3 linked regions of the Schizosaccharomyces pombe genome follow. Changing the gene in region 1 together with any one later gene gives a genetic interaction. Each region holds a gene or a part of one and is shown on either strand. Other genes may lie near its edges.

Region 1 (3,807 bases):
ATCTGTTAGGGAAAAGGAGAAATCGCGCAGTGGTATAGAACGATTATAAAAGAAATGAAAATCTGATACGCTACAGATCATTACATAAGAGGCTGATGTAGTGGTAGTAGCATTATGCAAATTTCGTTATTTTACTATATCGTGATTGCCCCAAACCATAATTCGTCATTCCTAGTTTACGAATTTACGAGTTCCATTAAAGTGGTATTAACGTGTTTTTAAAAGTACTTCACTAATTATCGAAAGCTGTTCATGGAAAATAGACTGCCAATTTGTTTTATTCAAACTCAGAATATCAGGGTTTCACTAATGCTGCTTGACTTGAAACATAGCTAATTGAAAAAGGAAAATTGCTCTTATTACCCTTTTTAATCGCCGGCTTTGCTTAAAAACAAACGGTTTTGCATTGCTATGAAAACCCTCGACATTCATTTGATAATTGCCAGGTACAAATTTACGTATCCTTACTGAATAATCGTAATATGAACAAATAAATGTTGTACCGTAGATAATATTTCTTAATTTTGAAATATATTAACTTTTCTTATTTCATTATGTGTATCCAAGAGCCAAGTTATATTTCTCTTATTTTAAACAGCTTGATAAATACAGGTTTTAAACGATTCAAATGATATCTGTTTGTCTTTTAAAATAGTGGTATGACATCCCATAAGTGTAAAAAAAATTTTTTTTCTTTCTGCCTTAATTTTTTCGGAATTGTGCATTTAATCCAAAACCAAACAAATATCTGAGTTTGCCAATTATATAGTCAGTAATACACCACTATAAACTATTCAACTAAAATACCCAAAAAAAAAGGACAACTAGTAATGAAAAAACAATGATAATAATAAATGAAAGATATATAATTGACTATTTTAAATCATGCATAATAAACTAATTTAACGTCTGAAAAAACAACCATTGATTTTTTAAAAGTTTCAAAAATTGTGCTTCACCCAATTTTTTACAATTAACCAAAAAAAAATATAAATAAATAAGTAAATACACGTCGAAGTGATAAATGCCAAAAAAATGATTCCATCGACAACCAACTCCGTCGATATTCACACCCATTATAATATATGCTCCTTACTTCTTTGGTATTAAACAGAAATTTTATAAATTAGACCGTTTTCCTCGAAATCCCAATAAAGAATGCAATGGTACAATAAATAAGGAAGCTTGAAACAAGTAAAGATCAGATGATAACAAAATTAATATAAGTAAACAAGAAATTAGGTCAAAGAACGACTAACAGAATATAACAATTTTAGAACGATTAGCAAAAATAGTATGAAATTTCAAGGGAATAAAAAGAACTTCACTGGATATCGTGTTTTCCATTTAACAATTTCGAAAGAGTCGTATACGTGAATTTGGTGATTCTATTCAAAGGAGAAAGTGATGTTCTCAAAAAAAAAGAGCGATTCCATAATCAACGACCATAGTATGTAGGACGAAATCGGAACCAAATTTAAATAAAAATCAACGCTTTTCATCTGCGGCCACGTCCACCACGTCCACCCATGCGTCCACCACCGCGGCCGCCGAAACCACCGTGAGGACCATGAAGTGGGCCATGATGGCCACCACCGATTCTTGGACCAAACAAAGGGCCTCTGGGAGGAGGAGGGGCGTAGTAAGCACGGTGACCACGAAGAACACTGCCGGCTAAAGCTCCAACCATGAAACCTCCTAATCCAGCCGTCATAGACCGTGAGCCGTCAGAAGAGCGAGGCACGTCCTTTTGATAGACGACGGTAGTGGTACCGGGAGGAGGAGGAATATGCAAGCCTGGAATAGGAGGCTCCCACTGTGGTTGAGCACCTTCAAACGTTTCATTAATGTAAAAGTAAGCTTGATAAGTTGGATCCCATTGGGCGACCCAACCAGCTGGCAAGCCCTTGTAAGTTTGATAAACAGACATCTTTCGATAAAGTAATTAATGAGAAACTGTAACTTAGAAAAAAAGAAGTAGTGAGAAGTAGAGTATGTCTGTTAAGAATTATTAATAGACAGGCACAAATGTCAAAAGAAAAAAAGAATTAGCAGCGAAGTAGAAACGGTATGTATAACAAGAAAGAATTTATGATCTCGTTATAGTAAGAATGAAGAAAAGATTAGAATAACGAATGCTTTGAAAATGAAGCAAGTAAAAAAAATGATTGATTGAAATTAGATTGACGAAAAGGTGAGGAAAACTCGCAAATAAATAAAGCTTTGCATTAGGACATAGCCGACGGACAATACGTCACTTTTGTGGGGAAATGATGAGTTATTGCGTAGTTGTAGTGTGGAAGCGAGTGCGATTTGAACTCTTTTTCTTCCATCGGAATAGAAAACATATGAGCGGGGCCGAAAGCTGCCGCAATCTATTTTGCGATTGTGTACCCGATATCCTAACAGCAAAGCAGTGAATTGGAAGATGAATTTACTACAATATCTGTAGTGTCTTTTAGTTACATTCAGAAAAGAAATTGATACGAAAATGTGCACGCTAAAAGCTCAAACCCATGTATACTTATGATCTTCCAATTGTACAAATTATTGCTATTTTCGCTAGTCTATAGATCGATCAGCCATTGACGTCAGCGCTCGTTTAGTATTTGAAAACAAACGCCAAGTTAGGTGTTTGTTTATTAATGTGTTTCTTTGGGTATATGAGTGTATGAAAATTCGACTCAAGCTCCTGTTAACACTTGATCTTTCTTTTGAATCGCGAATAGCATTGACTCCGATATCTCGGTTCAATTTTTTTGAGTAAATAGTAAACGTACGTTTCATAAAACTAACTTTAACAAAAAATTATCTACTTAGTGAATTAGTTCTCACTTGGATAAATACTTGTTTTTGTCAAGCTTTTAGCATGGTCAATTGATATCAAAAGGAACTCACTCCAAAAAAAATCGACCCCACTTGGGTCCATGAACCTCTCTTGTCTTGCATCTCTCAAGGACTGGATGGATGTGGGGGTTCGGGGAATCAAGAGTTTTCAATGGAGTAAGTGCAATCAAATAAATCAAAGCGACAAAGGATTAGAGCGAGGAGACGAGAAAAGATGGAAATACAATGAGTAAATTCGTATTAAAATTGATATCGTTTTAACGAAGGAAAAGAGAAAGTTACTCTACGTAGGTTTGCAAAAAAAAAATATATAAATGTAGATGTAGATGTAAAATTAATGTTAATGAGAAATTTGAAATTAAGGAAGCATAAATAGTATGGAGACATTATAGTTAATATGGACGATGAGTTAAAAGGAATAATTGGTTTAAGTGAAGCTAAAGAAAAATAAAAATAAAAAAATAAAAAGATGTCATTTAATATTAAATTTAAAAAAGACAACACACACATAAGAACTATTCAATAAAATAAAATAAACACAGTACAATAAAATAAAATAAATAACGATCTAACGAAACAGGAAAAAAAAAAAAAAATAATATATTACAAACAAAAAACAATCTCAAAAAGCTATCTTATAATTTGAGTATCCTAACCATAATATTTATTAACTCATATGTAAGTTTATCTTGGTAGAAGCTTTACCTTTAAGAATTGACTTCATTCCTACTCGCATCGCATTTGTTGCTTCTATTTTAGAGATAAAAGCTCTTTTAATTGAACTTATGCTTTTACCAACACGGCACGTGAATCAAGTTAGAATAATAGTCTAAATGTCCACAAAGGGTGGTTTCTCGTTCTATGAATAAATATAGTAGTAGCTTAGTGAAAATTCCACGGGACATTAGTTTATATAAGAATAAAAGTGAATGTATGAAAATTACATGTGAAGAATAAATT
Region 2 (3,332 bases), 3.0 Mb from region 1:
ATGTATGCTCAAAATAATCCTGTAAATCCTTCAACAACCAATCCTTTTCAAAACTTTTTAAGGCAACCCTCTTATCAAGGAATGCAGTTTGAGCAGCAACAACCGACTACCATACCGTTACAGCCAAATATTCCTGTATTGAATCAGCAGTATCCTGTTATGATTCCTGCCATGGAAGACTCAAGGGGTCCGCTACCGTCCCCTGCTCACATTATGTATCCTGAAGGGTCTCCTGGATTTATTCAACATTCTCCTAATGGGTTCACGCATGGCCATTCGGCTTCCCCAGTTAATATTGGACAAAAGTTGGATGTTCCTGAAAGGCCGATGTCTACACCGTACACCGCATCTAAAAACCCCTTTTCAACGAGGGAATTGGCTGAACCAACTGATTTAGCGAGAAATTCAATTTCGACGGAGTCTAAAAATCCGTTCCGAAGTTAGGTTTGTTTTTGTTGTCAATGCACCCATCATGTCGTTGTATATAATCATGCATAAGTTATTGCTGGCTAGCTAATGACCCATTTATTAATATTATTATACTAACTCGCTCTTTATCCAAGACTTTCTCGATTTATTTCTAGTTTAAAAGAATGCCGATTTGCTGTTTATACCTTCTTTGTACTATCAGTTTTACAAATACCAGAAATTTCTACATTTTTATCAATAGAGCTTAGAAAGTTTTGTAACAATTGTAATTATACATATATAAAATCATGAAACTATTCAAATCTGGTCTCTAACATTTGAAAAATCTAGTTCAGGATGTTGTTTCATGAAATTTTGCAGTACATCTTTTCGTTTTTGTTCATCGGTACGCTTTTGGCTTTGCTCCAACATCATTTTTTCAACTGTAGCTCTTGTTTCTTCATCTAGATCAGATAATTTTGAATTTTCGGGCTCAATTGAGCCTATATCGATTGAGGGATGCCCTTTTATAACACACGACCACCATTCCATTTTATTGGATTTCTCGAGATGGATAACAAGCCTTTCTTGTTCTTCGACAGTCCAGGTGCTTTCATCTAAATTGATCTGTTTTTCGAGTGGACCACTGAGAAGGACTTTTCGTTCTGGGACGTTGATTTGAATTTTGAGATCGTGATTTGACATATCTACCTGGAGGGATTTCGCTCTTGTCCCTTTGGGTACATGGATGACAATATCAACATCGGCTATTGTTTGATCCCACTCGTACTCGGCCTCTTCGAGTTTTACTTGATGCATTCTTAAACCTGCAGCTCAACTCACGCTTTTCGTAATCGGTTGATTACTTTGTAATTTTATTAAATATGTGCTCGTTTTTGGCTAAGCAAATCAAATTCTTTTACGAGCCTAAAAAATGAAGCTAGATTTGATTAATGTATATTTAATTACCGACTTCATAAACCGGAATTTCAAGATTACGAGTTTGTACGCTACGTTAAAGAGCTAACGTTTGATGGTTTGCGGTGCACACAGTGGAGAGTCGTGCAAACTCGCAGGCTGTAACTTTTACTTGTGTTCTGTTACGTTTATTTTACTAACATTCGATTTTTATACAATACTCTAGAGTTAAAGATTTCACTTTTTAAAAAGTAGAATTTTGTTGCGCTAAAAAAAAACTTCAATTTTTGAGGAAGGTGTAACTCAAGTTATGTATTAGGCTTTGCAAATAAACCGAGTTTTAGGAACAATTCAATTTATTATGAAATTTGCTCAAAGCCGTTTATATGGGCTATGGCGCAAATCACAACAAGCATATCATAACATTAAAACATTAACGAACATCGTTATGTAAAATCTACCAGCATCATTATGTTTACGAAGTTATATGTAGCAACGAAAGGTACAACTGTTGCAATCATTCAAAATTTGTGTGGTAGATGCAAAATAAGCATGGGAATTGGGTTTTCATGATTATGATTCCTTTAACAATTGCTGTCGCTTAAATAAACTCGAAAGTCTCATGAATTAATGCAAAATATCAGCGCCTTATTTTAACTCAGTAAATGAACAGAGGGCTCGTTAAAGGTCAAAGGTTAAATTACTTAAATTTTGGACAATGCGAAGATGATTAAGGCACAAAATGATTTAGAGAAGAATACTGGAAGAAAAAATATAAACTATATTTAAAAGTACTATTGAAAAGTTTTGTATAAAGAAATCTTCTGGATTTTCCTTGTTTGCGAAATGGATATACTGCCAACGTATCGGTGCCTTTATTAAGCAGTAAACAAACAAACCCAAGTTCTTCCAACAGCAAACACTTCAAGATGAATAAAGGCCCAAGACATCGTCCAAAATTCTTATCAAAAAAGGGAAAAAAGCTTCGCATAATGGTAGCAGGATCTAGCTACACCAGTTACCAAGCTTGTATCAATAGCTTGTGCAGTAAACAAATACTGGAAGCTGAAACAGAGATAGATCCGCTAAAAGCTCATATTGATAGAATACTGGAAATAAGGGAATTTAATGCTGGTGAGTTATTACGGTTTTAATTTTCGTGTGCTAACTGTAATTAGATATTTTAGAAGATGAGTTCCATGTTGACCTTACGGTCATTGAAGTAAATGGTTTCGGAGATAAAATTGATAATTCAGCTAGGTAATACCAAAAGGTATTTTTCTAAATTAAAGCTAATTTCAATGCATTAGTTTCGAGGTAGTTACTCATTATTTGGAAAGCCAATTCGATCAAGCCTTGATAGAAGAATCTAAAATCAAAAGAAATTCTAAATTTACTGATACGGTACGAAATCTGCAAACAAAGTTTTTCCGTCCTTAACTATTTCAATCAAGTTACTTCCATTACTTGATTTAATGTTGTTAAGTAGAAAACCAAGAGAACACATTGGTTTAAGAATGAGGAATGAAAAAAAAGTTTTCTAACGATATTTTAGCGCGTTGATGCCCTACTTTATTTTATTGCACCCCGTGGACATTGCCTGTCTGAGTTTGATTTGGAAGCCATGAAACGGTTTTCAAAGCGCGTAAACGTAATTCCTGTCATTGGAAACTCCAACGCTTTTACTGAAGAAGAATTAAAGAACTTCAAAGATGTGATAATGAAGGATTTGAAACAATGTAACATAAAGGTATTTGACTTTCCTTGGGATCCTGAGGAGGATGAAGACGAAGTCATTGAGGATAACAAACGACTTTGGGAAAGTGTTCCATTCGCTGTATCTGGAGGGGTATCAGAGGAAGATGAAGAAGGATATCAAAGAATCGTCAAGAAATTCCAATGGGGAACATTCGTAATTGATGATCCTGCACATTCTGATTTTCTTAACTTGAAGACCGTATTGTTTATTTCTCATTTGGATATACTCAAAAGTATAACTAAACAAA
Region 3 (3,694 bases), 3.7 Mb from region 1:
CGTATCCAGGATTCTTCATACTTCCATAAATTTTTTCGAAACAAGCTTACGGCTTCCCTGTACTTTTTACGAGAAAATGACTTTTTCATGCTGGTATTAAGGCTATTAAGCAATGAAGCCGACATGTGCGACGATTGCTTTGGCATAGATTTTAAAGAAAATGAAGGGAAGAACTTATCTTCGGGGGCCTGAAACTTTGAAATCATCGAAACATTATTTTTGGCAGCAGTACTTGAATGCCTTAACATAGGAAATTGTGTCAAGCAACTGAAAACTCTTTGATAAGACAGCCCATTATGATTAAGAGTGACATGGAGGGCTACATAATGAGCCCTTTTCAGCATATGCAAAGAAACTAATGAAATAGCAGCTGCATAAACTACTAGAAATATTATATATAAATAAAAGGTAATAACCTATGGTTGGTAGATAACCGCTAGCTGAGCGTTAGACGAAGCAAAAAATATTGAGGGTACCAAATTTTGTCTGCAACCAGGCTAAAGAGAGGGGGGTTTTATGGGTTAACAAAAACTAAACTAAAACGATAAAATGCGATGATAAAAGCACGACACCGGCAATGTCTAGCTTCTCTGTGCTTTGTGAATAAAAGGAGTCAACACAACGAGAGCTGTTCGGGTTACTTCCCAACGAGGGCTTACAAATTTGATAGTGCATATAACGAGACATTTAGTAATATTCATTAAGTCTACTCAATTAACAAAAAAATGCTAAACAAATGTAATATAAACTTAAGTAAATGCTAACGGGGAGCTGGAGCGGCATTATACAAAGGACCGATAGCTGGCCCATTAGTAGAAGGATGATCGAATGCACGAAAGGTTTCATAAGTGCTGTTGAATGGCAGAGCAGCCAAGTGTTGCCAATTATCAGTAACTAAAGGAAAGGAGAAGAAAGAAGGGAGAGTCTGAAAAGAGACCAAAAATTGTGAAGCAAGACGAGAAATAAAAAAAGATCCAAAACTTTCAGTAAAATAGGCATCTATGTAGTCAACAGCAGAAGACGCCAGATACGCAGTATAATACTTTAGGAAATCTTTTTTCACCAAATGCTCAAAGGCAGACTTTAAAGTGTAGGTAGAGACGGAAAATGGATCAGGAATTGCATTTTTAAGAAGAGATTCTTCAATAATGTAGAGAAGCTCTTTAAGAGAAATACCCTCATCGTCAACTATGGTACAAAAAACACTAGGCAAGGTAGGGATTGGATTAATACTAGTATCCTCTGTTGTAAAACAAGCAGCAGTAGCAAAACAATCAATGAGAACCTCTTGAATATTAAGACTGAGACCAACGGCTAGATTAGCAAGTGGTGTACAACTATCGTAACACAGACCTTTGATATATTCAGGGTTGCGACTTAAAGTTTGCCAAACTAACTCATGGAGGTTGTAGCGTGCATCATGAACAAGCCTATCTCCATAGAATAGTACAAATGGTTCAATAAACTTTGGATGACCTATGTGAGTTTTGTATGTGGATACATCGATTTCGTATGTATCTAGACCTTTGTGTGTCTGCGGTACTAATAACGGAATGGCTTTGTCAAAAAAATCAACAAAATCGTCGTCTTTGTACTTTCCATACAAACATCCTAACAGTAAAAGAGGTACAGCGTTTATACGGTTCTTTTCATCAACTGGTCGAAATCGTGTGTGATTAGCACGAAACAAAGGAACAATTCTCTTCCTCCTAACTTCTATTGGCGTTTTAGGTGTCGAAAGAATGGCTCCCATTTTTGAGTCAAAAAATTTAAATCAACTATTTTTATGCTTTTTTCAGGCCTAGAGACGATCGTTAAATGCAGTTCATCTAACCCTATAGTGAAACACAACGAGCTAGGGGGTACAGAAGATAATAAGAGGAATTTATATGTAATTGGTAGAGGTATTTGATGGTTTATCATTTTCATGAATTGATAGATAGTTATATCAGTAATGTAAAGTCATTACTTAGAGCAATGGTTTAGCTAAAGACCATTCACCTTTGATAAACGTCAAGTCGAGTATGAATACATCTAAAGCCTTCTTCATTTTTTCTAGTAATTGAAGAAGCTTTTACGATAAATTTGTTTGATGTGCAATTAACATAAATCGCTTTAATTGTTTAAAAGTGCATGACAAGAAAGGAGTGTATGCGACAAGTGTTGAAACCTCGCACTCATAGTTGCATATATACAGAGAAACTAATATAAATAATAAAATTTTTATTTTTTAATTGCTTTTTTATAGTTTTTTTTTTATGGCGCTACCAAAAAATAGAGAGTAATGATTTAAACATTTTAGTTATCAGATGTCTACTGTAAATAAAACGTGGGAAGGAAGGGAAAATCTACGCATATTTGCTTTGTCAACAGAAGAGCTATAAGTGTTCCAAAAGTAAAAAATTAATAAATTTTCATTTCATTTCGTTGTGGTATTTGATGGATTACTTTTATACATCCTGCACATTACCATCTCAGCTGTCTTATGTTGTAATATGAACGTATTGATGTTGTATGGAATGCACTAAATTGAGAATGCCTAACGAACAGAATGGGGTAAACGAGAAACCAAAAGGCGATTGTTCTTGAAATTTGTAGCATGTTCTAACATTTTATCCGTACGGACACGAAATTGACCATACATTTATTATTAAAAAAATAACAGATTATAATATCTCAAAAAGTTATTTATATAGCAAAATAGCTATTTTATTGTGAAACAATTAAATTATGTAAGCGGAATCTTGCGTTTAAAAATCCATTTCGTTCCTCAAGACTGAAATATTAAGCGATAACATTCTTTTGAACATAAGAAAACAGAAGATGAAAGTAGCAGACATCAGTACTAACTAATTTAACAACTACATGTTCTTGTTTTTAGTCATATCCAGCTGTTGCGTACAAACTCTAGTAGTAATTTGTACCGACTATTGTATTCAATGATAGCACGAATACAAAGCAGGATTGACAAATTCTTTGAAGCTCAATAAATTACTTGAGTTATTTCAAAGTTGCTTTACTATGGCTTTAAGTGTTCAGTTAAAGGAAGGAAACTTTGGGATTTCCTTGCATGGCTTTTAAATAAATTGCAGATTTTTAAAAAGATCGTTTAACAGCCAAAGACTTTTTTTTACATAATTTCGTCCGTATACATTGATTTTTTTTTTAGTTTTACAACTGTGAACTACACTTGATCCGGCATCTTACATCCGGTAAGTTAATTAATCAATATTCTATATTAACTGAGATGTGTGCTCAAAAAGTCTAATCGGAAAAGCCGCAAACAGTATTTGTTCGTGTAATTCGGTGGGCGAAATTTTTGAACTCCCATTACACTTATACGTGAATACAAAATACCCGAGATTGTAGTTAAACCAACAGTTATAAGATTTAAACAAATCTTACGCCTCCGGCTTTGTAATAATTAATTGCCGATTGTAGAAACAAACACTATCGATGGGCCTTGCAAAGCAAAAGGACTCGCAAGAGTTTGCCCAACCTGTTTGGCATTACACTTTGGCTGGTGGCATTTCATCCGTAATTTGTCGGTATGGCTAAGTGGCAGGGAAATAGTCAATTAACGATTTAAACTAGATTTATGATAGCACCATTTGATGTGATAAAAATTCGTATGCAAATTACCCAGTCTTCGTTGAGGCCGGTCTTTAAAGAGACTGTTCAGAAGGAAGGCGTA

The links.
Region 2: mutations in wwm3 (region 1) and nud3 together harm fitness more than expected from each alone (negative genetic interaction), as found in Schizosaccharomyces pombe (one large-scale study listed by BioGRID).
Region 3: mutations in wwm3 (region 1) and SPOM_SPBC1604.03C together harm fitness more than expected from each alone (negative genetic interaction), as found in Schizosaccharomyces pombe (one large-scale study listed by BioGRID).

What each region holds. Positions count from the first base shown.
Region 1 is NC_003423.3:200,659-204,465, reverse strand, and holds wwm3 (protein wwm3), read right to left. Parts: upstream 2,186-3,807; 5' UTR 1,931-2,185; coding exon 1,499-1,930; 3' UTR 843-1,498; downstream 1-842.
Region 2 is NC_003423.3:3,229,416-3,232,747, reverse strand, and holds nud3 (nuclear movement protein nudc), read right to left. Parts: upstream 1,357-3,332; 5' UTR 1,228-1,356; coding exon 727-1,227; 3' UTR 668-726; downstream 1-667. Other genes in the region: yap18 (ENTH/VHS domain protein), read left to right, coding at 1-444; meiotic septin Spn7, read left to right, coding at 2,256-2,460, 2,505-2,586, 2,637-2,730, 2,882-3,332.
Region 3 is NC_003423.3:3,925,073-3,928,766, reverse strand, and holds SPOM_SPBC1604.03C (uncharacterized protein), read right to left. Parts: upstream 1,798-3,694; 5' UTR 1,754-1,797; coding exon 761-1,753; 3' UTR 668-760; downstream 1-667. Other genes in the region: PPR repeat-containing protein Ppr1, read right to left, coding at 1-344; SPOM_SPBC1604.04 (thiamine pyrophosphate transporter), read left to right, coding at 3,457-3,548, 3,595-3,694.